Tamandua tetradactyla: one gene and its partners. The protein of the gene in region 2 purifies or fractionates together with the protein of the main gene of each other region. This does not show direct contact. Links are inferred from orthologs where the notes say so. Each region holds a gene or a part of one and is shown on either strand. Other genes may lie near its edges. The genes, in order: SMARCC1, CHD4, ZMYM3 and NOLC1.

The links.
Region 1: the proteins of CHD4 (region 2) and SMARCC1 purify together in Homo sapiens (affinity purification with western blotting; 6 studies listed by BioGRID, with this or other methods). This does not show direct contact. The link is inferred for Tamandua tetradactyla from reciprocal best matches to the Homo sapiens genes CHD4 and SMARCC1.
Region 3: the proteins of CHD4 (region 2) and ZMYM3 purify together in Homo sapiens (affinity purification with mass spectrometry; 3 studies listed by BioGRID, with this or other methods). This does not show direct contact. The link is inferred for Tamandua tetradactyla from reciprocal best matches to the Homo sapiens genes CHD4 and ZMYM3.
Region 4: the proteins of CHD4 (region 2) and NOLC1 purify together in Homo sapiens (affinity purification with mass spectrometry, with the first as the bait; 3 studies listed by BioGRID). This does not show direct contact. The link is inferred for Tamandua tetradactyla from reciprocal best matches to the Homo sapiens genes CHD4 and NOLC1.

Annotation. Positions count from the first base shown.
Region 1 is NC_135341.1:38,772,714-38,780,476, reverse strand, and holds the start of SMARCC1 (SWI/SNF complex subunit SMARCC1), read right to left. Parts: upstream 3,021-7,763; 5' UTR 2,946-3,020; coding exon 2,751-2,945; intron 2,629-2,750; exon of another isoform or gene 2,454-2,628; intron 1-2,453. UniProt on the Homo sapiens protein: Involved in transcriptional activation and repression of select genes by chromatin remodeling (alteration of DNA-nucleosome topology).
Region 2 is NC_135333.1:68,890,030-68,896,995, reverse strand, and holds the start of CHD4 (chromodomain-helicase-DNA-binding protein 4), read left to right. Parts: upstream 1-3,957; 5' UTR 3,958-4,083; intron 4,084-4,664; exon of another isoform or gene 4,665-4,876; intron 4,877-4,929; 5' UTR 4,930-5,007; coding exon 5,008-5,107; intron 5,108-5,323; exon of another isoform or gene 5,324-6,860; coding exon of another isoform or gene 6,861-6,873; intron 6,874-6,966. UniProt on the Homo sapiens protein: ATP-dependent chromatin-remodeling factor that binds and distorts nucleosomal DNA. Acts as a component of the histone deacetylase NuRD complex which participates in the remodeling of chromatin.
Region 3 is NC_135353.1:100,364,083-100,371,907, forward strand, and holds the start of ZMYM3 (zinc finger MYM-type protein 3), read left to right. Parts: upstream 1-4,814; 5' UTR 4,815-4,889; intron 4,890-5,200; exon of another isoform or gene 5,201-5,340; intron 5,341-6,095; 5' UTR 6,096-6,114; coding exon 6,115-6,781; intron 6,782-7,784; coding exon 7,785-7,825. UniProt on the Homo sapiens protein: Plays a role in the regulation of cell morphology and cytoskeletal organization.
Region 4 is NC_135339.1:64,002,881-64,009,781, forward strand, and holds the start of NOLC1 (nucleolar and coiled-body phosphoprotein 1), read left to right. Parts: upstream 1-3,886; 5' UTR 3,887-4,061; coding exon 4,062-4,181; intron 4,182-6,168; coding exon 6,169-6,224; intron 6,225-6,331; exon of another isoform or gene 6,332-6,360; coding exon of another isoform or gene 6,361-6,374; coding exon 6,375-6,511; intron 6,512-6,614; coding exon 6,615-6,742; intron 6,743-6,901. Other genes in the region: PPRC1 (peroxisome proliferator-activated receptor gamma coactivator-related protein 1), read left to right, coding at 1-59, 950-1,093, 1,200-1,266, 1,385-1,506, 1,714-1,865, 2,160-2,263. UniProt on the Homo sapiens protein: Nucleolar protein that acts as a regulator of RNA polymerase I by connecting RNA polymerase I with enzymes responsible for ribosomal processing and modification.

The DNA of each region.
Region 1 (7,763 bases), on a different chromosome or scaffold from region 2:
TTATGGCAAAAAACATAAGGTCAAAAGACAAAATAATAGATTGGAAAAAATAATTCGTAATACAAAGGGTTCATATCCCTAATATATAAGCAGGTTTTACAAATTGCTAAGAAAAAGAAAAACCACCCAAGGAAAAACTGGGGAATAGGTATGTTAGGTTAAGGCTATGAAAAGGAAATTCAAAAGAACAATGCAGATGACTAATAAACACATGAAGCGATAGCTTCACTGTTCGTCAAGAAAAGGCAAATTATAACAACAGTGAGAAACTAGTTTTTACTTATTAAATTAGCAAAATTTGATGATAGCATTCCATGCTGGTAAAAATGTGTGGAAGAGAGTATATAGGCCCTCTCATATATTATTGTTGGGAGTATGGAAAGGAGCAGTGTTGGGAAAAATAATCTGCCAATATTTAATAAATTACAGACCATGTATGATTTAGAGTTCCACTTTTGGGGGCTCTATCTTAAAGAATAAAAACACTAGTTTATAAGATTATATGTTAAAGCTATTTAATGTTGCACTGTTTGTAATAGTAAAGAAAACAAAACTGGGAAACAACCTGAATGGTCAAGAATAACAGATGTTAAATGTTGAAACAATAATTTCTACAGAATATTAGGAAGTGAAACTGGAGGAAGACCTGCGATATACTGCTAAGTAAAAAAGATTCTATCGCAGATTATGTTTATATTATCTTCCCATTTTCATTTAAAAAACAACTAAAGACATTTATATACATCTTTTAAAAAATGGTACCAGTAATGTCATGTTTATTTCATACAGTTGCTGAGATTTAAACTGCAGCTGCGATGAAAATGCAATATAAAATATGCAGTACTGAACGCAATAGCAATGTTTACTTAAAACCCATCACTGAGCACACCAAGTAGACATATACTGCATAGAAAAGAAGCAAAGAATCTTCTGGTTAGTGTTTTCACCACTCCCAGAGGGGACGGAATTCAACTGACTATGAGGACTGAGGGTATACAATTTTGAATCTGAGTAGGCCCAAGGTGCTTTAAGAAGCCAAGAGAAGTCAAACCTAACTTTATCTTTAAGGTGATAGGGACACTGAACAACATTAATCACTCTGGGACAAACCATTCAGTAGGCCTCACAGCCATTTCTGCACCCACCCAAACAAATCTCTGAAGGATTATCATAGTATGAAACTGTTCTTCTAAAGTTGGGTGGAAACCAACGCACACTATGTTTTGGGAGCTAAAAGTGACTATTTGCCATTTTCTTCCTTGATATCCAAATACCTCCTGGGTATTTTTCTTTGTTAAAGCTACACTGAATTTAAGACTCAAAGCATTAGCTGAAGGTGACCTGATAAAAGAATTAACTACTTTCACAATATATTTAATTCCCTTACAGCGCATCCACAAGCTCCACTGATTAAAAAAAAAAGGGGGGGGGGGCAGACGGCAATTTTATCATCGTAAAATAAGGGATAAACATATTCCTGTCTATTTATGTGTAGATGAGAAAAACCTATAGTTCCAGATGTGACTCCAATATTTCAGGCAAAAAAAGTCAAGGCATTTACAACTTATTGTCTCTCACATCCTGAAACTTTAGATCAGAAATGTCATTTTTGAAAATATAGCAGTGTAATGTCAAAAGAGCCTAAGATCCATGCCCATGCCCTAACAACTGCAAAAGGGTGACCGGCTTCACTGTGGAGACCCCAAATAAGTAAATTCCTAGTCTAATTTATCTGTTCATTCAACAAATACTTACAATTATTAAGGGTGAAGCACTGAGTACTAACCATGTTGAAGGAAGGACACACTGCAGTGAACAGGCCTGACAAGGCACCTGACCCTGTGCTATTGTCCTCAACGGAGAAACGGAAGAATGCGTTCCAAGAAATGGGGGGGTGGGGGGGCCCTGAAGGAGAGGTGTATGGGGCTTTCTTCATTATACCCTCAAAAAGAATCATTCCTGAACATTCTCTTAAAGAAGTAGCTAAAGAAAAAAACCCTTTTATTATAAACAAGATTTAAGTCTAAACTTCGAAAAACAATGCTTCAGTGGAAATCACATTCCAAAGTCGGAGACAAATTGGTAAATAAAAAATAATTTCAAAAAGTGGTAAACATTAGAAAGTAAAGGTGATATGAAGTGGGGTGACCTAATATAAATGGGGTCCTTAAGGAAGACCTCAATGAGGACACATTAAGTACAAGAGAACATTAACTCTTATCCTCACACCAGAAACTTCAATAAAAGCATTACATAACCAAAAGCACAATGAAGTAAAAACCATCATTTTTAAAAAAATATTAGTACTCATCAATACTATAACTCATTGTATTAACCTGCTGTTAACTACTGAATACAAGAGTCCATAGTTCTTCTTTGGCAAATAAACAAATAGTCTCTAAACAAAACACGAAGCTGGTTCACCCAGTTCATAATGATCATTGTTCACACACCTATGCAGCTAACAAAAGAAGATTCACGTTCTCCCGGCTACTGAGCTCGACCTATTCTTGCAGCCTAGAAAGAGAAGGGGATTTCACCCCGGCGTGTGTGAGTTCAAAAGAAGTTAGTCAGGCCCCGAGCTCGCTGCAGCCGAGAATGGGTGGCGGGGGCGTGGCAGGCCCGGAACCGGCCTTTGTTGTCCCTCGTGGCGTGCGGAGGGGGAGGGGCGGCCCGAGGCCCACGAGGCAAGAAGCCGTCTCTGGCCCCCGGCGCGTGACCTCCCCGCTACTACGGGCACGCGAACCTACCTTCTTGTAGTGTTTGCCCAGCCACACGCGCACCGAATCCAACTGGGACACGGTCTCCGGGCTCTCCCAAAACTTGCTGACTGGGCCTCCGTCCTTCCGCCGATAAACAGCAAGACCTGCGGCGGTAGCCGTCCCTCCGACACCCGCACCGCCCGCGGCCGTCGCCGACCCACCGCCGCTCGCTGCCGCGGCCATCGTCGCCGTCCGTCGTCCCCACCGCCCGGCCCGCCCAGGCCCTCGCGGCGCTGCCCTTTCACAGCCACCCGCTCACAGCCGCACCCGCGCGCGCCGCCGCGGCCACCACCGCCCCCCGGCCCCGCCCAGCTAATCCTCTTCCGGCGTGGATAGCCAGCTCCGCCCCATTTCAGGACGGGCGCCCTGACGCGAGCACGCGCATACGCATGCGCAGAACGTGTGCCGGGCGGGTGACCACTGACAAGCACTTCGACCCGCCACTTCCGCCCGCCGCGGTTGGCTGCCGACTGTCTGTGCCGCGCGGTTTAGGCCTCTGAGCATCTATCTCCTCTCCGGCTCCCGTGTCAGATAATTGTGCGGTCAGAACCCGCATAGCCGTTCTATTTCATTGTCTGCCACCGTCGGAGAGAAAAGGCTGGGTGTCAGAAGTGTCGAGGGGAAAGTCCGTTGAAGATGTCGAGTGCCGACAGAGAGACCCACGTGTGGGGTGGGATTCTGCGTAGGTTGCCCTCTGGCCCTCTACTCGGAGCGGCTACGTCGACCTTTGTAAACGTCCATCAGGGTCTCCATTACCGGAACTGCTTACGCTTCTTCGGCCGTCCGCCTTCTTCCTGGCTCTAGCCACACCAGTTTATCTAACTTCGCTCTTCTCTTATGTAACGTACGAAACTGAGTGAGCATCTTTTTTATGCTTTATCAAACTCTTCTCCAAGTTTGATCAGCTTCTAACATTTTATCCTTTGCACTTTCCATATCATGAAAAAGTTCCTTTAATGGGAGGTTTTTTTTACCGGCATCACATCCGTTGAGACATCCTCATCTGTTTTTTCACAAACATTTTCTTCATTATGTGGATAAGTTTGACTTCACTACACTCCTCTGGCTGCATATAGAGTCTTTTTGGTACTGTCAGTGTCAGTATCCCCTTGTCAGCTATTCCGTCTATAATATCATTTCTGTTTGAATTTCATGTCCAGCTATCACTTCTCATTTCTTCGATGCATTTTCATCTTTGTTCCCTCTTTTGATCACTCAGTAGGGAGGCAACACAATAATATGCCTTGCTTGCTGTGTGTGAACTGAATAACAAATGCACAGTGACTAGTCACAGATTTTTTCTCATTCACATTCAGTATTTTTATTTAATTTTCTAGCAATTTACATACCTCACCACATCTTTCTTTAAGTTAGTGTGACTAACTTAAAGTCACACTTTAAGTTTATTTTCCATGATAAACTACTTAAAGAGACACTTTGGTCAAGAATGGAAAAATCACTGCCACTTTTAAAAACCTGACACTTTCACCAATTATATTCAAACAAAAGCATACACAATAAATGCGTGCTATATACTCAATGTTTCCTTGCAACTGGCTTTCCTACCGTCAAGCAAATAACTGCACACAGTCAGTCAAGGTTTATCATGCTAGATTCCAGAGGTTCACTCAGCTTCACATTATTTGAAGTCCTAAATAGAAAACTCTAAAGCTCTTGAAATCCCAAATTTCTACGGCCACATTGATGCCAGTGGTGCAAAACTTGTGACAGTTTGCTTGTCCACCTCATAAACAGACACTCAAGTGATGCTATTCTAGTGTGGCAACTCCAAGGTTGTACGGTTCTCAGTTATGGTCCTCTTGTCCGTTTTTCAGAACTGTTTCATGGTGCTGGATGCTGTCTTGGAATGTCTAGTTTGGAGACAAAGATTGAGCAGCTGCAATCATGATAGTTAAGGCACTGGGCAGCAGTCATGGCCAACAGCTACGACACTAGTCTTGGAGATATATGGTACACTCAGGAATATCAGGAACTCCATTTTCATTTCCATTTTTGGAAACTTGCATTTTTTGTTGTTGTTGAGGCATCAGCAATGGACATGGTGCTGTTACAGCTTACCCAGGCAAGATGACTCCCACTGGGAGAGAGGCTGACCCTCTGGACCCAGTCACCAATGCCGCCACAACCAAAGTCTGACATCAGCTGACCAAAAAACATCTTGCTGTCCTATGGTATACAGGCTGGTTTTTTATCCACTTCTTTAATGTAGGCAGAAAACACTCTGCATTTGAAGTGGGATACTCCTACTGTAAGCAATAACAGTGTTAAGCTGAGGACCATGGAAGGACTATGCTTTTTAACATGCTTGCTTACCCACTAGTCATTTTCAGATACAAAGTACCAAACAGAAATGAGTACTGCTCCACTTCCCACAGCAAATTTGTTCTTTAGAGTGGACCACTTCATAAAAGTGGCTGAATGATTAATTCTCAGGATCACCAGGGTTTGCTTCCAGCCATTTTTCTAATTCCAGACACAGGCATTGAGGTCTAACCTGCAAGTGATGATGCATTTGCTCTAGGGAGCTGTTTTAGTTCACTAAAGCTGCTGAAATGCCATGTACCAGAAATGGGCTGGCTTATAACAATAGGTATTTATTAGTTTACAGACTTACAGTTCTGAGGCCATTGAAAATTCCAAATCAAGGCATCAACCGGCAATCCAGCGATCTTGAAGTCTTTCAGTTGAAAAGACATGGCAACATCTGCTGGTCCTTCTCTTCTCAGTTTTGTTCCTTTCAGCTTCTGGCTGCCCAATCTGTGGCTTGCTTTCTGAATTTGTCTTTTGACTACTGTGTCTGAATTTCATCCTCTTACGAAGTTCTCCAATAAAAGGATTAATAAGACCCACCTGGGTTATACATCAACTGAAATAATCTAATCAAAGGGTCCCACCCACAGCAGGATTAACACCTACAGGAATGAGTTAACTTTAAGAAAATTATCTTTTCTGGGGTCCAATTCAACTTCAAAAAACCACAGAAGCCCAGTCAATACCTATGATGTATTCATTGTGCTCCTAGAGTTCATGAGCTTTCACCCATTGACTACCATTCTTATAGATACGGACTTCGAGGTTATTGAAGTTAAGGACAATGCAGGTATGATCCTCGGTTCAGGCATGAATGGTGACTGGATCTGGTAAGTATTCAAAGGGTAGAAAGCTGGACTAAGGCAGACTGGACAAACTTTGAGTGGAGAATTTGTGGACTTTGGTCTCTCAACATGAAAAGACTCTGGCTTCACCAACAGATTTTGAAACAAAGAAAAGTGGCATGATTGGTCATTCATTGATCATGAGACACATCTGTTATTTAGATAGTGACTTGTGGACTGAAGAGCTAGCAGTGAAGTTTACATTTTATATAGTTACACTTAATATACTATGGTAAATGAAGTGAGAACTATGTTGTTGGGAGACTGGTGTTATATAATTAAGATTTATGCATGTTAGAACTGTGCAAAGCAAGGACAACCTGCATTTAACATGATGTCTGTAAACATTGCAGAATTGAAGAAATGAGTCCTCAAATCAAATGTGCACACTGAATGCCATGGTGGACAAATAAAAATGAATACTCATTGGGACATGGTGCAATGAAACGGCAGAACATGAAATACAAAGAAAGAAACCTTAAATGATACCAGAGAAAAAAGATACTAAACCTACAAGGAAAAGAAATTCAACAGCATTCTTCCTAACACTAATAGATGTAGACAATGGGATAATCTTCCATTTAATGAGGAGAAAAACTGTCAATCTAGAGTTGTATATCCAGCTAAACTCTCTTTCTAGACTGAGGATAGGATAAAGGCATTTACAGTTATGTAATGAATAAGCAATTACACAGCAACTCTTACTGAAAGAACCTACTATACTAAAAAATGTACTTTGCAAGAAGAACATTTAACCCTGCAGAAAGGAGTGGGATATAATAAATAATGACACACGCTGATATTAGTAAAATATATTTCAAATTTTAATTTACTATTGACTAGTAAAATACCTTTTTATGCAGAAATAAAAGAAGGAACAAAAACCTTAGGTAAAAATAGAAGGTTATACAAGGCTGTGTGTCATTTATGATGTTTTTGGCAGCAAGGAACAGAAACCCTGACTCAAAACTGGTTTAAAGTATAAGGAATTCTATTAAATTGCAAAGGAGTAAGCCCTCAGGTAGGACAGACCTCATAGGTGATGGATTCAGGAGCTCAACAGTGTCATCAATGAACCAAATTCTTAACATTTCTGTTTTCTGTCCTCAGGGTAAGCCTCATACTCAGGTTTCTAGCAATATGGCTGTACCAGTACTCAGTAGGTCTCAGGAAACTCCTCTTCATGTTTCAATGACTACAATTGAGCAATTTTTGTATTTTTATCCCTGGCAAGATACAATGCCTTCTGACATAGAGTTAGGCCAGATGAAAGGTACAGTCCTCCGAAAGATTTCCCATGCTTCAGAAACTAGCCACAAGGTCAGGGAAGATATCCACAGCCACCCTGACTTTGGATCAACTGGCTATAAATTTGGTGGTTCCCCTGCCCTCTCAGGTTTGATAATATACTATCATAAGTCACTGAAGTTGAAGAACTGCTATACTTACAATTTTATTATTGCAAAAAAAGGAAACAAATAAGAAGGAGCCAAATGAAGAGACCCAAAGGACAAGAACCAGAAGCTCCATTGTCCACTCCCTGTGGAGTCAGGACATATAGCCATCCTGGCACATTGATGTGTGACAATATATAGAGTATTATCAGCCAGGAAAGCACACCTGAATGTCAGTGTCCAGAGTTTTTATTGGAGTTTCATTACATAGGCATGATAGGCTGAATCATCGATCAGGTAATTTAGCTCAATATCTAGTCTCCCTCTGCTTCCTTGATGTTAGGGTCAAAATCTGAACTCAAATCACATGGTTGGTCTTTCTGGCATGGCCAGCCTCCATTCTGAGACATCTCCTTAGCACAAATTTGGGG
Region 2 (6,966 bases):
CAGAGCTTACTGTCCCTGTGGCTTTTCTTCCTGATGTTGTCTTCCCAATCCCCCTTTCTTCATGGAGCCCAACACTGTGCCCCTTAGGCCTCCGTCTCATGAACAGAGTTTCCTGGTCTCACGCAAATCAGAGGTGTAGGGGGAGGAAATCTAGAGCATATGCTGAAAACTCCATGGGCAACTCACTCGGAGTGTTATTCTAGGTTCTTCTGTACCATGGGATGCAAACAGAACTCTAAGGTAACGGGCTAGAGAGGCTGTCCCCCTGGGTGCATTAATCAGGAGATTATCCCACCCTTGGTCTCTGTGGGCCAATCAAGCTGGTGGTTTATTTATAATTTATCTGGGAGGGTAGTATGGGGCCAGGGGAGGGAGGGGGAGGCATAGAGGCATGAAGACCACAAAAGCAACACACAAACATATATCCTAGCCCTTGCTAGGAGAGGAAGAGATTTTAGCCTTCTCCTTGTGGTGGTTTTGGGGAAATGGGAAGTAAGGGAAGGGAGAGAATAAGTAGGTAGTACCTGCAGGGATGGGGTAGAGGGAGTACAGTGGGTAAATGGGAACAATATTTCTAATCATGGGCAAGAGGCTGTGAGTCCCCACTTCGAAAACTCTGATTTCTATTGTGAATCACTGTGGTAAAGTGGTATATATATATATGGAAAAGGGTATTGGGTAGATGGAGATATTACAGAAGGGAAGCTGAGGTCCAGAAACAGGCTGGATCCCTTAGAGGAACAGGGAGAGAGGAGGGCAAAAATAGGTATCTGGCAGCTCTAAATGCAAAGGAGAAACTTCCTTGAAGAGAGGTAAACTGATATTTAGCCATTTTATGGGAGATGCCCCTTTTCCCCCTAGTGAGGAGTGCAAAATTCATTCTTAGTGTCTGGTATAAGCATGGGGAACAGTTTAGAAAAATGAATGGGGATTAATCTTGATGTTGAGAATTTAATGAGAGAGATTCTATGTAGCCTTGCATGCAGTGGAAGCATGCTACAATAGGTATGGTAACAGAGTGTCCAGGGAGTTGGAGCAAATGTCAGAAAAAGAATATAGGAACTACAAAGGTGGTAGTGAGTGCCAAGACTTGAGGTCTTTGATGTTGAAAACTCCAGTCCTAAGGTGAGAAGAGAGTGAAACACGGAATGCTGGTGGTTATACAAAATAGGCAGGAGCAGGTGGGAAGACTTAGCAGCAGCACTGGTGCTCTGCTTGGAAGCAAAAGGATTGTAAATTCTGGAAACAAGCTCTCACCTCTCCTCAACTCATCTCTACTTGCCAGTTTTCCCAGTCCTTAAGTTTCCAAAGGAGGGGAAAATCATCTGGTAATGCCCTTTCTCTAGGGAAATAAGGGCAATGAAGAGATGGAGGGAGAGTCATCCCATTTACTTCTGGTTGGGAAGGAACCCTCCTAGGAGGGAATTCTAGTTTCTCTTCAGACTGTCCTCCCTATATAAGTTATGATCTGTGTGAAAAAGACAAATGGGAGTCCAGGAAGACACTATCTCTGGCTTAAGGGAAGGGGCTGGTACCCCAAGACAGTGGTGCTGAAACATTGGTTCTCGCTCAGGTCTTACATCTCTGGGGCTTGGGAGGAGGGGAAAGTGACAGGCTTATGGGTTCAGAGTCTCCGAGGGCCAAAAGGTTTTAAAACAGCTCTTTTGACTCTCCAGGGCTGGGGCCCCAGGGTGGCTAGAGGGTAGGGGCAGGTAAGGAAGAAAATGGAATATGTTGGGAGGCTACCTTGTAGTATAACTGACTGAGGAAGGCATCCTGGGATGTTTGTAGGTACGGTGAACATTATACAACTAAGGTCTTTAGGTGGAGAATGGGGCCTCAAGAAGATTGGGGCAGGGACAATTGGAGGTATTGTGAGACTTCAGAATATCAAATGTGAAAGTGGTTGAAAAATATGAGACTTACTGGGTAAGCAGAATTTGGTGTTCAAGAATGAAGGTAATGGTTGATAATATTGATGAGTCTCTCAAGAAGAAAACCCGCGATGATATTATAGAATTTTGTATTAGGAGTGGTAAATGGAGAAGCATTGCCTTCCTATCAAAATCTCTCAGTGTGTAGGGAATAGTTAGGAGATTATTTTGGCCATTCATCTACATGGTAATATTTTTCAATATCTTCCTGACTCTAGAAGGACCCCCAAGAACCTCCACTAAGATAGCATCTGTCCTGAGACGAGTTGGGATGTGTTTTACTCTCTGTAATGGGAAATTGGGAAATAGCACTCAGTCGTTCTTCCTTGACACCAAAACATTTCTATCTTGTGTCACAGTTTGCTTGTTTGGTAATGCGTCTTAAAGGGAGGCATCAACTGCCTTCTTTGCATCCCCCTTTGTGCTGAGCTCTGTGCTCTGTCAACATCTGTTGAATGAACACAAATAGTAGTAAGTAGTAAGTAGAAGGAGAGCAGGTCCTAGCTCTTGGTCTTCGTTCACATCATGATGGGAAGACAATGACATTGCTGGCATGTTGAAAAATAGTCTTTGGATGTGATTTTGCACTTATTATAGGATGCCATGTTGTGAATTAAACTTTATGTAATGGTTCATCTGGCAAGCATGGTATTTTGTCAGTTTTACTCAACGTTTAAGGGCAGGAGATGAATATGGAGTATACCTGGATTTTAGTGGGATTGGGTGGGGCCCTATGCTGGCTCTCAGATCTCTAGTGTCTGTCTGGAAATAACAGGAAGCAAAAAACTAGGGTTCTAGACATTAAGAGGATTTATGCTAGGGTACTGATTTGGCCCAGAAAGAGCTGAAAGTGTGTACAACTTTGGGCGGGGACAGGGCAGTGTGGGTAATCTGCTTTGCCCTCTGTACTCTAGGTGTTAGAACAGACAGCTTCTTCAGGAGATGGGGAGGGATGAACATGAATATTATGGGATGCCTGGCAGAAGGGTATAGGAGTGGTGGGGTGGAGATGAAGCATTGTGGAAAGTGATGTTGAGTAGTGCTGGGAGTATTTTGGTACCCACTGGTTGACCCAGGGCACCTTGCTTGCAATTATTATGGGATGTCAGGGTATGAGTGGGGGAATAAAATTATGGGAAATCTTTCCAGTGTTAGGGGAAAGGTGATTAGATGCCCACCTGCCCGGTGGCGGTAGGGCTGTTGATCATCAGGGGATAGAACTTTTTATAGGGGAGGAGTGGATGTTATAAGCTGTGGAGCTAGAGTGAGAGCATGAAGGATGGGGATGGTGTTGAAAGGATCTATCTAGACCCTAGCCGGCAGGGACCTAGGGCAGCTCTAGGGGGTTGGTTATTATGGGATGTCAGTAGAAAAAGTGGGAGACTGATTATTATGGGATATGTGTGGGAGGAGGCCCAGTGTCCGTTGTTGTAGTGTGTGTAGGGGGGTGAATTTCTGACTATTATGGGATATCAAACTGGGGGTGGATGAAGAGTGGTTATTATGGGATGTCTGTGGGGGATGGGTATGAGTATTATGGGATGTAAGGCTCCAGTGCTGGGAGGGGTGCTTATTATGGGATGGCCACGGGGAGGGAGAGGTGACGATTATTATGGGATGTTAGTATTAGGGTGAAGAGTGAAGAAGTTGGCAGAAGGATGGCTATTATGGGATGTCTGGGGGGGAGAGGGTTAGTTGTAAATGGTCTGCAATATTATGGGATGTCAGCAGCCCTGGCATATATATGTGTGGAGTGTGTGTGTAATGTGTGTGTGTGGGGGTCGGGGGTGGGTGTCCGTGTGTATTATGGGATGGCCAAGAGGTGGGCGGTTGCCCGGGTGACACGCGCGCGCGCGCTCGAAGGGGGCGTGGCCAATGGTTGCCTGAGCGACGAGGGGGCGGGGGTTGCCCGGGAGACCTAGGGAGGAGGGTAGCGGTAGTGGAGGGGGGGTTGGAGTTGGTTGAGGTTATTATGGGCTGTCCGCGGGGGGGCGGGGCCTGTGCGGTGGGATTTCCCGGCCGGTGTTTCGGGCCCTTTAAGAGGCGACGCCGGAGCCGGAGCCATTTTCCCCCCTTCGGCCGCGGCAAGGAGGAGCTGGAGCGGGAGTGACACCGGGCCGGACCCTACGCGACCTGCAGCGGCTCCGGGGTGAGGAGAACGCGGGGTTCTTAGAGAGACGCGCCTCGCAGCCCGGCAAGCCCCGAGGGTCGTCCCTTCACCCGCTCTATCCTCAGGCGCCCCCAGACCCGTGGACCGCCCCCTGTCCGGGGGAGCCGACCCTGCCTTTCCCTTCCCTGCAGGGTGCCCAGCCTCCTCCCGCCGCAGCCGGCTCCAAGTCTCGCTCCCGCACCCTCATCCCCGGGCTTGGTCCTCCACAATGCCCGGCGCCGGTCCCCTCGCCCTCTGCTCACTTGCCCCCCGGGACACGTGGCCCGGCCCCCTTCCCGCTGGGGGCTCTCTTGCCCCCACGTCCCTGACTCCAGCACCCCCGGAGCGCCCGAGCTTCCACGCCCCCTTGTCCCCGCGGCTCCTGAGGAGAACCTGAGTTGTCCCAGAGGACAGCCTTTGGAGAGCTGCCCTGTCTGGGGACTGGCCCCTCCCCGGGAGCAGGAAAGCGCCCCCCCCACCCAAGTGACCTTGTGTCCCCGAGCGCCTCGCCGCCCGCCTCCTCCGGCCGCGGCCACTCGGACGCCCCCAACCCCCACCCCCACCCCGTCACACCCTGCCCGGTCCAGCCCTGTTTCTCCCTTCCCCACGCCAGCACCAGCCTGCCTTCGGGGGCGTCGCTCCCTCTCATCTGGGGGCTCCTGTTGGGGAGCTGGCTTCCGGGCTGCCCCCGAGGAGGAGTGTGGAACTAAGTTCAGCCTGAGTGGTTCGGGTGTTGGGGTGGGGGTGCTGCTGTAGCTGGTGGGCGGAAAGAGCGGGTGGGTGTGGGGGAGGGGGACAGTGCGCGTCACTGACTGTCTCTCTTTCTTTCCCCCCTCCCCCGCACAGTGACTCGGGCCAGTGTCGAGGGCCCCAGGCCGCAGGCAGGAGCAGCTGGGCCAATTCCCTGGCCAGGAACGGAAGGGGATGGCGTCGGGCCTGGGCTCCCCGTCCCCCTGCTCAGCGGGCAGTGAAGAGGAGGATATGGATGCACTTTTGAACAACAGCCTGCCCCCACCCCACCCAGGTAACATCATCCCCAAGGGTCCAGGATGGGAAGGAGGCTTTTGGGTCCTCCCTGCTGACTCTGGTGAAGCGGTGCTGAGTTTCTGGTCTTTCTGTGCAGAGTCTGAGGTGGAGGGCCTTGGAAGGAAGCGGTTCCCTTCTGCAGAGCTCTTGTGGGGTGGGGGGTGGGGGGTGGGGGGCTGGGATGGTGGAAGCCATGTGCCTCCTGGGCACCTTGGACTGCGTGGATGCCTGCTTGCTGCACTGGTCTTGAGGAATGCTATGCAGTTCCCCATGGAGAGAGCGCTGCAGACTGGCAGGCATGATTACATGTGGGGATCCTTGGAGGAATGCAGGTAGCCGGGACCCCTGGAAGCTGTTAGATTGGGGCATGTGTGTATCTGTGCTAGTAGGATCCTATGGTTGCTACTGTGGAAAGGAAGGAGAGAGTGCTGGTTACTCTCTATTTGATTTTTAGCTTCTGATCAGTCACTGGCTTTCTGTACTGTTTCAACGGTGAAGTTTGAATTGCGCTCCTCAGCCGGGATCTAGAGTGCTTATAGCCAGGCAGATTGCTGGAATGTTTTGAGCGGAGATGGGGGCTAGGGGATGATATAATAGCCCTAAGAGCAAAATAGGTGGGGCAGAAGAAGGGAGGCGACACCCTGGGCACCCCTCCTCCTCTGGCAAGTGGACATAATTCTGGCTTTGTTCCTCGGGGTGTCTGCCACTGTGTAAGTAGCCTGAGGTTTGGGGTGGTTGGGGTGTTTTGCAGTGTTTATGTAGGTGTGTTGGGGGTTGTGTTATCTGTGTTTTGGGGTGGCTCCTTGGATTGGCCTAACTCGAATGGTTATAACCTTGTCTATCCTTAAATGATGATTGATCTCATGCTCCTAAGTGGGTATCTCTCTTGTCTTCCTTTCTTCAGAACTCCTAGCTAAGTTACCTACTGGTCCTTGACCTTTTTTCTAGCTTGTTTTTGCTACATGCCATTTCTTCAGCCTCTCTGCTTATATTTTTTCTCCTCATTCTGGAGCCTGCCGATCCTGTTTATATTTCCCATCTAATGTCTTTCACTTCTGTTTTCTGTCTTAGCTCCAGCCGGAAGTTGAGGTGATTTGGGAGACATGCTTCCACATTTGGCATTTTCTAAGTTGGAAGTCTTCATCTCAGCCAGAGGTCACTAAAGCGAGGGACCAGCCATGGTGTCTTCTTTGCATGTTTCTGAGACTTCAGTTGTTGAGATAGAAAACTTAGGCTTGAGTCTCATAGGCTTGAGTCTTATCATTATGTTGGGTAGGGTGGTAACTTTCTGTGCTGTTGCCCAAGGTAGAGTGGTTGTGGTGGTAGGAGAGCTTGTCCTTTCTGTGAGGGGCATGAGAATTAATAATGTTATTGAGCCATTGTTGCTTCTACCTCTTGGCCTCCCATTGGTCACTTGGTGTGGGGCAGCCCAGTGTTGACTGGGAGCTGTGCAGCGTGAACTCTGCCCCAAGCTGTAGTATGACCCAGTTTTTCCACTTGCCACACCCCATTCCTGCCCCTTTCCCAAATCTTCGTCTATATCTCAGCCAGTTTGCCACTTGCCACATCAGCATATTGTCTGCCTGACAAGTTTTGGGGTCGCATGTGGAATGTAAGGGTGGCCCCTTTGCCTCCATGGGTTTGCCCTTGTCTCTACTTACAGCTTTTACGGAGGTGGCGAAGAAGAAGAACCGAGATGTAGCTGATTCAGGGGGTGACATGGGGATTGCTGGGGAGAAGCCCTTAAGAAAATGATTCTTTCTGGTGAGATCCAGGCTGGTGTTCCATTCCCAAGGGAATGGGAGGGGCTTTCTTGTGCCTGGCCTGATCCTGGGCTGAGTGGGACGGGTTGGGGGA
Region 3 (7,825 bases), on a different chromosome or scaffold from region 2:
GGTAAGGGTAAGGGGATGTATGAGGCTTCTTTCTTTTGTGTTGGTTTGAAAGGATTTATGTACCCTAGGAAAACCATGTTTTAAACCTAATCAATCTTGCAGGAGCAACCATTTCTTCAACCTCTATTCAATACTATGGGCTGGAAACTTGATTAGGTTATTCCACGGAGATGTAACTCACCTAATTCTGAGTATTAACTTTTGAATAGAGGGAGCTGTTTCTCCACCCATTCCAGGTGGGTCTTCATTACTTTACTGGAAGCCTTTACAAGAGGAAGCATTTTGGAGAAAGCTTGAGGATGACAGGAACAGCAGAGACACATGAACTACAGAGACCACCAGCCAGCAACCTTTGGAGATAAAGAAGGAGAACGCCCCTGGGGGAGCTTCATGAAGCAAAAGGCCTGGAGAGGAAGCTAGAAGACATCACTATGGTCTCCATGTGCCTTTCCAGTTGAGAGAGAAACCCTGAACTTCACCAGCCTTTCTTGAGTTAAGGTAACCTCTTGTGATTGCCTTAATTTGGACATTTTTATAGACTTGCTTAAATTAGGACATTTTCTTGGCCTTAGAATTGTAAACTAGCAACTTATTAAATTCCCCTTTTTAAAGCCCGTCCCATTCTGGTGTATTGCATTCCAGCAGCTTGCAAACTAGAACACTTTATAGTCTGAAGTGATGCAAATGTTTTAAAAACGATCAAGGTGATGAATACACAACTATGTGATTATATTGTGAGCCATTGATTGTACGCCATGTATGGACTGTACATTTGTGAATATTTGTCAATAAAAATACTTAAAAACTAGTGATTCAGCAATCATAACTCATTTGTTAAATCCTCTATTCTGTTACACCTCCTCCTTCTTTTCTGATTCTTCTCCCAATCTATAGGGATCTTTGGACAAGACCCGTTTTAACTTTTTCATGTTCAGAAAGGGGTCGACACTAAAAATAGGGGACTCTAATTAATTGGTTATCTTGGACCGGCTAGTCCCTCTGGGTTTCAGGATTTATCTGACCTAAGAACCCTCCTGGAGTTATAGGTTCCAGGAAAGCAAACTTAGTGCATGAAACTTTTATAGAGTCTCAGTCTGAGCGTAGTTGTTTTTAAGAGTCAACAGGAGTGATGTTGGTTGGGGGTTAGCAAACCATGGCAATTAGCACTATGTAACTAAAGCTTGCATAAGAGCAACCTCCAGAATAGCATCTTGACTCCATTTGATCTCTCTTGGCTACATGTTTCTTTTATAAAGATAATAGTTACCAACATTATTGAGAACCTGCTATATGTCAGGCAAAGGTCACATCTCACTTAATCTCAATAGCATCCCTATGAGTTATTATTTTTTTACTCTTTAACTTTTAGTTTTGAAGTTATTTCAAACTTACAAGACAGATGCGAAATTAACACAAAACCCACACAGAGAACTCCAACACCTAGATACTCAGATCCACCAATTTTCAACATTTCTTCTACATTTGCTGTATCACTCAGCATATCAGTCCATTTATCTACCCATTTATCTATTTTTTAAACCTTTGAAAGCAGGTTGTATATATCAGCTCCTTGAACACTTAATACTCCCACATATATTGCCTAAGAATAAGGAGATTCACTTATGTAACCACCTTAAGTACAATGATCAATTTCAAGGAATTTGACATTGAGATAAAACTTATAAGTATATTCCAATTTTTTCATATGTCTCAGTAATGTCCTTTTGGGCCTTTACTCCTCCATTATTAGACCTCATTCAGGATTATTTACTTGTCATTGTTTCCTTAGTTGTTTTTTTGTACCTGTATGGTAGCATATATACCACATAAACTTTCCCATCTCAACCACTCCCAAGCATACTATTCAGTGGGATTAATCACATTCATAATGTTGCACTCCCTTCATACCATCCATTTCCAGAATTTTCCCATCGCCCCAAACAGAAATCCCTCGCCCATCAGGTATCAACTCCCTATTCCCCCTCTCCCCACCCCGCCCCTGGTAACCTGTACTCTACTTTCGGTCTCTATGAATTTGCAAGTTTTGTTAGCTATTTCATATGCGTGGAATCATCCAATATCTGTCCATTTGTGTCTGACTTATTTCACTTGACATGATGCCTTCAAAGTTCTTCCATGTTTTTGCATGCATCAGAACTTCATTCCTATTTTAAGGCTAATACTCCATTGTATGTATATACCATATTTTGCTTATTCATTCATCTGTTGATGGACATTTGGATTGCTTCTACCTTTTGGCTATTGTGACTCGTGCTGCTATGAACATTGGTGTACAAATATCTGTCTGAATTCCTGCTTTCTGTTCTTTCAAGTAAATTTCCAGAAGTGGGACTGTCGGGTCATATGGTAGCCGTATGCTTAAGTTTTTGAGGAATTGCCAAGGTGTTTTCCACTGGTGCTGCACCATTGTACATTCCCACTAACAATGAACCAATACATCCTCGTCAGCACTTTATTACTTTCCACTTAAAAAAAAAAAATAGTCCCTTTATGGATATGAGGCCTATGGGTATTATTATCCCCACTTTATGTTTGTGGACAACTAACATTCAGAATAGTCCCATAAGTACTGAATCACAGAATCAGTATTTGGACCCTTATCTTTCTGACTGAAAAAGGAAGTCTCTTTCTATTATGCACACTGGCTCCTTAGAAAACAAATTATTGAAAGCCTATCATGTGCCTGGCACATTATTTCTAATCCTTCCAAACTTCCTTCCTACTTTACCCTGCAAAGTAGGTATTAATATCCTCATTTTAAAATGTTAATATTTCTCCTGATTATAAGAGCAATATGTGTTAGTAGACAAATTTAGAAAATAAAGAGAAGCAATGCAAGAAACTATTTTTTAAACTCATATATATTCCAACCACACATAATTACTCTAAAAATGTTGATGTATTTCTTTCCAGTCATTTCGTATGCATACGTGGTAAAAATAGATTTTTTTCTATAAAATTAGGATATTTTAACTCCTTTTTGACATTTAATATTCTATGAGTATTTTTGCATGTAATTGGTTTTTCAAAATGTGGTTGTTAATGATGACATACATTGCATGACAGTAACTAAATTGATTTAACCTAGTGCCTATTATTGGACACTTAAGACTGTTTCCTCACCTCTGTTTAAGGATGAGAAAAGTAAACCCCAGTGACTTGACAAGTCACTTGTCCCAAGTTATCTGGCTAGAAAGCAGGCTGAGTTGAGATTAGAATTTTGGTCTAGCTGACTCTAGAACTCAAGCACTTTATACACCACACCAGCTCTAGAAATAATAATACACCATTAACTGCCCTTCCATTTTCTCCTCTCAACTTGAAAGCTAGTGACAAAGCACTCTCCACAACCAGAACAGCAAAGGATCCAAGCATGAGGAACACAGATAATACAAAAGAACTAGGTGGCCCAACTGAGATGGAACAAACTGAAAAACAACAGGGAGGCACAAGGACATAGAAATAAGCAGAAGGTGGGAGATGGGTACACAGAACACTGATTGAGATAAGGAGAAAGCTGCAGTTGTGAAATTTAAAAGGAAAAAAAAAGCTTTTGCTTTTGTCTTTATATGTATATAGGAAAGAGCAAAGATAACCTCAAGGCCATGTGAGGAACTGGGAGGGATAAGGTTTCTGGAAAAGCGGATGAGTAAAGGGAGGATAAAACTTGGGAGGACTATAAGGCTAGGAGAGGCTTAGGGTGGGAAGGAGAAAAGTCCCGAGGGCAAAGAGTCAGGCTACAGTATTCAATACCAGCCACCAAGCCTACAAGTTCTGTGGCTGAACTCCCTTCCAGCAGGAGCCTCCTCCAATATCTCAGCTATTAAATACCCCTTAAGAGCTGGGGAGGAAAGGTGAGAAGCAGGGATTGTAAAGTGCTCTAACTATAATGAGGACTGAGAAAGGATCCTTGCACACTTGTTTAAAGCCCTGGCCTAAGGCTAGTGCCCCCTCCCCCCATCCCACCTCTCTAGCCTCAACCTCAGCCACACCCACATGTTAAGGACCATCCAGGAGGGGGGAGCGTGTGTGTGTGAGTGCGTGTGTATTTACACGCATGCAAGCTCGTGCATAGAAGAGACAGAGACGGAGACAAAAAGAGACCGGGGAGAGAGAGAGAGAAAGAGCGCGCGCGAGGAAGAGAGAGAGCAAAAAGAGACAGACAAGGACAGAAAGAGAGAGGGAGAAAGAGTGGAAGCAAAAGACAGACAGACGGGAGACAGAAAGGGAGGGAGGAGGGCTATCGGCCCTGGTGAGAAAAACTATTCCAGAGATAATGCAGGGAGCTCTTGTAGGAGGACTCAGGAAGAAGATCCTAGAACTTACCCTAAGACCGCTGAGGGAGTGTGTGTGTGTGTGTGTAGGGGGGGGTGTCTTTGCAGGGCCTGGATTTGGGGGGCATCAGCAATAATGGTCACTGCATAGGCGTTGACACTGAGCCAGAGCCATTTAACCCGCCCGGGGTGGCTGGAGACCAAGCTTAAGACGCCTCAAAACTACGACCCTTCGACTGGTTAGGGGGGCCCGAGGCTGTAGACAAGGGGAGGAGGGGCACGTGAAGGCTGGGTCCCTGCCTCCCTCCACCCTCTGCTGTCACTCATTACCCCAACAGTCGCCCCGGGGGCAGGCCCCGGAGAGGTGGGGATGGGGGGAGGGTAAGCTTGGCAGGCGCCTGCTGCATGGCGTAGGTAGTGACTGTTGAGGGGGGGCGGATGCCGGAGGGTTGAACACGAGTGGGAAGAGAAGAGAGACACGGGGAGGGGGAGGGGACCGGGAACCATTTGAATGAGAGGAGGGGATCACGGGTAGAGTGGGCTCCAGGAGGTAGGGCGGGCACGGGTGTGACGGGGGCCAGACTCTTGGGCCAGGTAAGGGAAGCAGGTGCGTAGATCTGTGTTTTCTGTGGGTTAGTGTACTCGGCCCCTTGGTGAAAAGGGGGCGACGCCTTTCCCGGGGGCGGGCTTCAAAGCTCCAGAGGCTATCTTTTCCTGCTCAACTAACGGGGCCCCGGGCGGGGGCTCAAGCTCCATCTCCAACGACCAAACTCCACTCCGCAATTTCCAGGCGGCCACTGGGCTGGGAGTCTCGCGCCGGGGGCCGGCGCTGTCTCGCGAGCCCCCTCCTCGAGCCAGCCAATGGGGTTGGTTGCTGGCGCCGCCCGCCCGCCTGGTGCAGAGCGCTGGGCGCTGTGAGCGGCGCTGCCATTTAAAGGGGCCGCGACCCCTGTCCCGGCTGCTAGGGAGGGAGGTGGAGAAGGAGCGCGGGGCCATCGCTGTCTGCAGTTCTAGGCTTGTAGCGGTTACACTAACCCTGCCGCAGGTAGGGGTCGGGCCTGATCCAGCCGAACCGAACCTGCAGGCGGGAGCTCGCAGTAGCCGGGAGGGGGGTCTAAGGAGAGATCGTAGCTCCAAAATGTCTTCCTGTAAATGCCTGAGGTGGGGGGTGGGCAACAGGAGAAGGGAGGACTGGGGGAGCAATAGGAAAAGGGGACGGGGTTGAGGAAGTGGGCGACCCTGAAAGGTAATTGGGGGGGAGGGGTTAGGAAGGGCAGTTTGTGGGGGCGGGGGAAGGGCCAAGGGAGGACCATGCTACGCGGGGAGGGGGGGTGGGGCTAGACAGGGTGGGTAAAGACTGGGGAGCTGGGGGGGCTTTAAGGGGAATGGGAAGGAAATAGAAACTGAGATCGCGGGGGCGGGAAAGCCTCCGGGTGGCGAAGGCCCTAGGAGACTCTTAAGGCCGAGTTGGGGGGGGGGGTTGAAAGGTAAGGGGGGAGGGGAAGTGGGAGTTGCAGTCGGGGGTGGGGGTTGCAATCGGGCGGTTGAATGACCCACTGGCTTATTGAGTGTGGGCACAGGGCCAGGGCGGGGAACGCCTCTCCCCACAGGGGGCGCTGTATGGGGAGGGGGGGAGTGGTCTTTTGGACTAAAGCCTGTGGAAATGCTTTTTGGTTGTGGTGATGGGGGCTGTTCATGTGAAATCCAAGTGGATGTTGGGGTGTGTCTCAGAGCCTCCATGAGAAGGAATTCTGGCTAAGACCACCTCTACTTGCCTTCTGTTGTACCCCTGATCTCCAGCCCATATCCGGCCTTCCTCATGGACCCCAGTGATTTCCCCAGTCCATTTGACCCATTGACCCTGCCAGAGAAACCCCTGGCTGGAGACCTTCCAGTGGACATGGAATTTGGAGAAGATCTGCTGGAATCCCAGACTGCCCCGACTCGAGGATGGGTCCCCCCTGGCCCTTCTCCATCCTCTGGAGCCCTGGACCTGCTTGATACCCCTGCTGGTCTGGAAAAAGACCCTGGAGTCCTAGGTGGAGCCACTGAGCTGCTGGGGCTGGGGGGGCTGCTCTATAAAGCCCCCTCACCCCCAGAAGTGGACCATGGTCCTGAGGGGACCCTTGCGTGGGATGCAGGGGATCAGACCCTAGAGCCTGGACCAGGGGGCCAGACCCCTGAGGTGGTGCCACCTGACCCAGGGACTGGGGCAAACCCCTCTTCTCCCCAGGGGCTACTAGAGCCTTTGGCCCCAGATTCTCCAATAACCCTGCAGTCTCCCCATATTGAAGAGGAGGAGACCAGTTCCATTACTACAGGGAGAAGGGATCCCCCTGGGCAGGAGGAGGAGCTTCCCCGAGGGCAGCCACAGAGCCCCAATGGCCCCCCCAGTCCTTCAGTGGGAGAGACTCTGGGGGATGGAATCAACGGTTCTCAGACCAAACCTAGGGGCCCCAGCCCCCCTGCACACCCTTCCTTGCCAGGTAGGTTGCCTAATCAGATGATGAATTGAGGCTGGGCAGAGAGGGTGGGTGTAAGGAGGAGTGGCTCTGTGTTTGGGGGAAGAAGCAGGAGAGGAGGAGAATGGAGAGGGAAGAGTAGAGGTGTGGGAGGGGGTAAGAAGGCGGAGGTTTGGGAGGGAGGAGTGGGGATGTGGTGAAGAAGAGGAAGGAAAGTAGGGGTGAGGGGAAGCACAGGGGGTGTGGAGGGAGGGATAGGGGTGAGGTATCAGGGTGGTGGGTTGGGGGGAGTGGTTTTGATGGGAGATGTTCCCTTTTATTATTACTCAAATGGGCTTTTGGTGCCAGGATCCATCCCTCAGGATTTAGGGAAGAAAATAGGCTTCTTGGTTCTAAGATCTCTGCAACTGTTTTATTCTAAATGGGAGTGGGGTTTCTGGGTTTGATGAATGACAACTAGATTCTGGAGCCACCAAGAGCATAAAGATTTCAGGAGAATGGTAGAAATGTAGAGTGTGTCTCTGATGTGGGAGGGGCAGCCTGAACGTGAGAAGCTCCAGTTCCTCCCCTGTTTGGCCTAGTCCTGTTCCTCTCCCAGGCTGTGTGTGCCCAGGGTCCTAGGGCTTTTATATAACCAACCACCTGAGGCCAGAGGAACCTACCCATACATTTGTACTTCCTTTCCCCCTTGCTGCTGTTGGGTGGTTGCATTTGTCTTTGTTGGTAAAACAAATTCTGGATGAAAGGTGTGTTATCTGTGTTTCCTTAACTCCCAATGATTGAGGACAGAAAAGCTGATGGGAAGGGTAGGGGTGCTTTTTGTTTTCATAGAGAGTAGCTGCGCCCTGCCCCCTTAGTACAGAGCCCAAGGTAACCAGGGGAGGGGCCCCAAGAAGCCACAGACACTCGAGTTTTCCCTTTCAGTTTTGAGTAAGTTCTTTCCCTGAATTGGGAGGTGGGGGTTGGGGCAGGGTGGGGTGGGCAAGGGCAGGCTCAAGATTTAGGCTACCTTCTGCTTCCTTTGCAGGAGATGGCCTGACTGGGAAGGCGAGTGAGAAGCCGCCTGAG
Region 4 (6,901 bases), on a different chromosome or scaffold from region 2:
TCTTCCTCATCCCGATCCCGGTCCCGGTCCCTCTCCCCCCCACACAAGAGATGGCGCAGGTGAGCTCTGATGGCCTGTTAGGTCCTCTCCATTTAGGAAGTTCATGTACAATGGTTTCTTTTGAAAGCTTTTGCACATTAAGTTTGATACTTTCAGGCACTAGGTCTTCCACTTCTGTCTTTGGCTTTTGTCTTTCCCCCCTTTCCTGAGTTGTTGAAGGAGGCAAACTGTGGGAAGATAGCTTCCATTCTTTGTTGGAGTTTGGGTTGTCCCTGAGGTCTCCTGCTTCCTTGAGACATGCCTTGAGGAGACTGTTAGGGTTTGCTCTTGACCATGTTGATTCCTTCACATACTTTATCAATCCTCAATTATGGCATTTTCCTGGTGGTATGGGAGAAGGTGGAAGAGTGGGTTAATTCTTCATTGGAAACAGTCATTCCCGAAGTCCTTTGGGTGCCTCATCTATTTCCTGGTGGTGTCTTTTAATAACAGATCCAAAATTTCCCACTTAATCAGTGAAGTTTTTGGTTTTTGTTGGCGGTAGATATCTTCAGAAGTGGCCCCTACTATAAGTCTAGCACAGTCACCTACCCTTTATTCTATAGTGGAGCAGTCCTATGAGATATGGTAAAGAAGGAGAAACCCAGAGACTCAGGTCTGGCTCCCAACACCACAGAGAGACCTAGGGCTCAGCCCTTTATCTCTCTAGGTTTCCATTTATTTTCTTTTTGATAACTCTTTCAATTTTGAATTGCACAATTGAAAATAAAAATGATTTCTGTCCAGATACTTTGTTTATCTGTGAAGATAACTGTTCTAGACCTCTTCTATTCTACTTTACCTCTGGTCCTGAACCTTCTGACGAGAAGTCAGGGCAGGAGCCGGGGTGATGCAAGTGGAGTATACCTGTACCACTTCCAGCATTTTTGCATGGTCCTTTATTCTCCAGGTCCAGCTGCAGTTCCTCTGGACGTTCCCGAAGATGTTCTTCCTCATCGTCATCTTCCTCTGCATCTTCCTCGTCTTCCTCATCCAGTTCCTGCAGCCGTTCCCGCTCTCCATCCCCTCGCCGAAGAAGTGACAGGAGGCGGCGGTGAGCGTGTGTATAGGATGTCAGTGGTACCTGGGCAGGTACCTCAAGTTTCGAGTCTTGAATTGATGTATGTCTAGGGGCTGATGGTACCTTTTCCTCCTGTCAGGTACAGCTCTTATCGTTCACATGATCATTACCAAAGGCAGAGAGTCCTGCAGAAGGAGCGTGCAATAGTGAGTAGAGGAACAGGTGATGGGACCTTGGACTTGCCCCTGAGTTACAAGCTTAGAGAGTCAACTACAGCTGACTGTCCTGGCTCATGGTATGTTGATTTTCCTTGTCCCAAAATAGGAAGAGAGAAGGGTGGTCTTCATTGGGAAGATACCTGGCCGCATGACTCGGTCAGAGCTGAAACAGAGGTTCTCTGTTTTTGGAGAGATTGAGGAGTGCACCATTCACTTCCGTGTCCAAGGGTAAGCTTCTGCCCTAAGGTTAGGATGTCCTTTCTGTCCCATTTAGCTATCTTGATGCTTCTTTGTCTTTTTCCCCTTGCTCTGGGACACCTTTATTTCCTCAGTCAGAGAGTTGGCTGGTTGGGTAATGAGAAGAAACCACCCCAGATACTCTGTCAACCTGTGCCCAAGTGGCCACTCCAGCCCATGCTTCACCCTTCCCACCAGTGACAACTATGGCTTCGTCACTTACCGCTATGCTGAGGAGGCATTTGCAGCCATTGAGAGCGGCCACAAGTTGCGGCAGGCAGATGAGCAGCCTTTTGATCTCTGCTTTGGGGGCCGCAGACAGTTTTGCAAGAGGAGCTATTCCGATCTTGGTGAGTGGAAAGAGGGCCTGAGGCTTTGGCACTCTTCATCACCTTCCTAGAAGTGGTCCCAACCCTTTGAGGGTGGAGCTAGGCAGACTTATCTTCATCTGACAAATGAAGAACCTAAGGGGTGGGATGAGAGGAGAAGTGGGGGCTTTGGTGTCTTTGACAGAAAATCAGGACACTTAAAGCTTCATCCATTATTGGGATGGGAGGTTGCTGGCCATTTGAGGACCCTGTGTTTGGGAAGTGACGGTCAGAGACCTCATAATCTTGAAATTACTGGTCTCTCTCCTTTTATAGACTCCAACCGGGAAGACTTTGACCCTGCCCCTGTAAAGAGCAAATTTGATTCTCTTGACTTTGACACATTGTTGAAACAGGCCCAGAAGAACCTCCGGAGGTAACCCTGGGCCCTTTCTCCCCTTTTTTCTTCGGAGGTGCCCAACCTCCTCCACCCCACCTCCCCCACTCTAGGGGAGAGAGCTGCTAGTGAGGAGATGACTGTTTTGTAAAGAAATGGAAAAAAAGTGAAATAAAAAATGTGTAAAATCAGATTTTTTTAAAGGGGTATTTGTTTTTTATAACAGGTATTGAAACAAGTTAACTTGCATTCCTGTGTAAAATGGGTGGAGCTGAGGGGTTCGCCCATTGTTGGAACATCTAAATCACTATGCAGACTAATAAAAATGAACTAGAGAGAACTCCCAAGTGCTCTTGTGTTTCTTTCTGTGGTGCTAGTGCCAAATATATTCACTTTTCTTTAAACACAACCAGGGAGATGCTCATTTCCATCACGATCCTAGGACCTCTCTGGTCAGGTGCAGAGTCCACTGGATTTGAATGTATTCTTTGAGAAATCAGTCATGGTGGTCAGTGCTGAAACTTCAAAGTCATTGAATCATAGGGAGCTCTTTTTAGAATGCAGATTCTTAGACCTTCTGGGATGGGATCTGCGTTTCTAACAAGAGGATGTTCCTGCTGCTGTCCAGGAAGGGCCTGCAATAGCAAAGACCTAAGGAAAGTCAAACTTATTCCAAATAAAGGTTCCCCAAACTGGATCTCTGGTTACATAAACCATTCAGTTTTGTTTACCATTTTAGCTTGAGCACAATGTTTGGTGCACAGAAAGTGCTCAGGTGTTTAAAGAATACATGCATGTGGACAGATGGGGCCAGCTTCTTTCTAGGGAACAGGGACACGGAGTTACACCTGGGGGGGGTGCCTGTTTTGAGAAAAGTAGAGTAGAGGGGTAGCCCATGAGGAAGTGATTCTTACCCTTCCTGATGTAATGCATTAATGGAAAGTGATGAAGGTTGGTAGGATTGAAGGGATTGCTGCCTGCTAATGTGAACTGAAATATGGCAGAAATTGGAATTTCTTTATGAACCCGAGGTTTTATATTAGTTACTCATGGTAACTAATTGGGCGGCAGTTCTCTAGTTCACAGTGTGAACTCTTATCCAGGAGGTAGCGGAGTTATTTTTAGGACTTGCTATGTGACTGGGTTGGGTGCAGGATTTCTCTTCATGGAGCTAATGATGAAAAAGTAATGGGAGGGGAGCTGCCTTATATCTACGGGAGGTGCAGGGACAGATCCTGTCGGGTGGTTTGGGGGATCAACAACCACCACCGATAACCTGAGGAATCCTTTGTAACGGAGGGGTGAGTTTGGAGGCTGAAGTGGTATCTGAGAAAAGTGTCTCATTGGGTGCTGGAGGCAGTGAAGATGAAGGGGGAACCCACTGAATGGGGACAATTGGGAGGGTTTGTGACCAAGTCTAGGGAGTAAAGGACAGCTTGAACCGGGCGGCCCATGCATTACTGTGGAATACCAATTCCAGCTGGAGACCGGAATGCCGATACTCTGAGAAAAGAACCTCCTACAAAAGTGTAACGCGCGGGAAACGCCGAGGTTTCCCGCCACGGCCGAGGGCGTGGCCTTTACGTCAGGGCTCCGCCCACACAAAGTGGCGGACCGCGAGCTCCGCCCTTACCATGAAGACGACACGCTTAGGACCGGAAGGAGTTTTCGGCTTCCGCCTTGACCTTGCCTCCGACACGGAGGCGGGACTGCTCTGTGGAATACCTGCCTTTCCGGTATGCGCCCGCGCGGCGTAATGACGTTACAGGGCGCCTGCCTACCTCCTGCAGTTTCTAAGTAGCACTGTGTCGACGACGGTAGTGACGTGTGTATCCTGGAATATGGCGGACATCGGCTTGCGCCGCGTGCTTCCCAGCGATCTGTATCCCCTCGTTCTCGGCTTTCTGCGCGATAACCAGCTCTCGGAGGTGGCAAACAAGTTCGCCAAGGCGACAGGCGTTGTAAGTCCCGAGCTTGGGGCACTGGACAGGGTGGGACGACCACAAGACTCCAGGCCCTGATATGCTTAGGGTTCCGAATAGGAAAGTCTCTGGGGTCTGCCCGCCTGGTCTCTGCGGAGGCCTTTGTGCCGAGCTCTCGGCGGTGGCAGCAGAGGGCCTGGAGCGTCGCGCCTCCTTTTCCTCGAGGTCTGAATAGGTAGTACTGAATCTTGCTGCTTTTTCTTGGTGAGCGGTGCATTGGCTGCAGCATGGGACCCGCGTGGCCCAAGTCACATGGGTTGGCGGAGTGCTGCAATGAAGGGTCACCGTACCCCACCGAAATCGTTGGCGGCCCTTGGTGGGCTTTTAGTTGACTGAGACAGAGCGTGACTTGACCTAATTGACGACTTCATTTACCTCGGACTCAAGGTGAATGAAATTGCTTCAGAAATGAAGGCTAGAATTTTCGTTAATAAAGAAGAAAATAAATTAGCGTAGAGGCAGGGTTCTGCTCTTGTTATACTGAAGCAGAAGGATTGAACCTCATAGCCCTATCAAGCAAACGTAACGGTGGATCTTTGACTTAGCAAAGATACCAGGTCTACCATTAGTAGAGTGTAGCTTAGGCAGCTTGCTTGATCTCTCTGAGTCTGTTTCTATTTATACAGAGATGCTGTTATCCACTTTGGGGTTTTTTTGGTGAATTTCCGTAAGATGATATATACTAAGTTCTGTACAGGAAACATCAATGATTGAAAGCTGTTCCCTTAGCTATGATAACTTAGAATTGTTCCAAACATATATAAGAGGACGATGACCAGGATCTGAAAGGTTTGGAATCCACATATCAGGAAGAGCACCCTGGGGAAACACCTGGAGAGAGATTAGAGTGGTAGTTTGCAGTGTAGACATTACACGACCAAGAAGGTAGTCTTGTTTTTGTAGCAGAACCAGGCTGTGAAAGAGGGCGATTGGCTCAACCTCAGAAAGAACTTCCTTAGCTGGGACACAGTACCATGTAAACTTATATAACTGCTTTCTTATTGGAACAGTTTTGAATTGAATGTCAGGGAGGCTGCAAAGAAAATTTCCATAATGGGTTGGATGTAATTGGGCCTTTCAGAGTCAGGATTCTTGGGTTTTACAAGACAAAATTAATATTTGTGGAGGGATAGTGAGGGGCCAGCTGTTAAGCCCTTTCACATGCATTATCTCTTATTCTTTGTATTATTTTGGGGGGGAGGGGTGCATGGTCCAGGAATTGAACCTGGGTCTCCTGCATGGAAGGCAAGCATTCTGCCACTGAACCCCCCATGCACCCATATTATCTCTTATTCTTTCTGCAATTTAATGAAATGGATAGTATTATTTCCTTTTTTTAGAGAAGAAAACAGTCTCAGAGAGATTAGGTAATATGCCCATAGTCACACAGCTATAACTGGCAGAGGTGGTTTCATATCTATAGTTATCTGACTGAATCTGCACTCTTGTTTGTATTGTAATGCCTTACCATCTTTTGGAATCAATTTATAATCTATATGAGTGCTAATAATTGAATGCAATTCTATACTGTCTGTATAGCAGTTATTTACCAATCTTCTCTTCCAGTGATTTGGTATTATAAACCACATTGCCAAAAACACCCACTTGTATAAATGTTTAATTTCCTTGTTTCATGGGTAAGGATAAACTCCAAATAAGACAATGGTAGAATAAAGGAAATGCATGTTCTTTTAAGCCTTTCATATACGTGGTGGTGATGGTGCCATAAAAATCTCATGAATAGCCCAAGTATTTGGTATCCAAAATTGGGAAATACGCAAATAGATCAGATGTTTTTCTCCTGATTTGTGCAAGTAGACATAGTAATATGTACCGTTTATACCAAATGTAGTTGGGATTAATAGGTCACATTTAATGAAAGAATAACGCAAAACATGATCCTTCCTTGAAGAACCAGAATAAAATTTCCTTATCCAGTTCTCTCTCTTTTTTTTTTTTTTTACAGACACAGCAGGATGCCAATGCCTCTTCCCTTTTGGATATCTATAGCTTCTGGCTCAAGTAAGCCTTCCCTCTTCCACTTTGGCTATTTTTTCTCTGTGGCGGGCTGAGTGAGCTGTGTTCCTCAGTGTTTTTTATTCCTTGTTAGGCTGTGTTCCTTGGTTTAGGAAGGTCCTGATCCCCAGAAGTTAGTCTAATGTATGTCAACAGGTCTGCTAAGGCCCCAAAGCGGAAGTTACAGGTAAATGGACCGGTGACTAAGAAGGCTAAGAAGACTTCATCCAGTGACAGCAGTGAGGATAGCAGTGAGGAGGAAAAAACCCAAGGGCCTCCAGCTAAAAAGGCGGGTAAGACAGGGCAGGAGGTTGTGATTGGTGATTCCGGGAAAAGGATTTGTGGTTAGTGTGTACCATGTGCCTAATTTTTACTTGGATCTCTGCTTTTGTTCAGCTGTGTCTGCTAAGCGGACCACACTGCCTCAGCAATCTGGGAAGGTTGTGGCCAAAGCATCAGAAAGTAGCAGCAGTGAAGAATCCAGTGATGAGGAGGAGGAGGAGAAAAAGAAAAAGTCTGTCCAGGTGTGCAGCTTTAAGAAGGGAAGGGAGTTAATTAAGAGTTTAGAAAGGAAGAAACCTAGAATCCTGGCTTCTAGTGACCAAGGGGTGGTGGTGGGTGCGGAATAGGTTAACTATGAAGAAGAACCTGGGGACTTTCTGAGCAATGATCAATATGTGAAG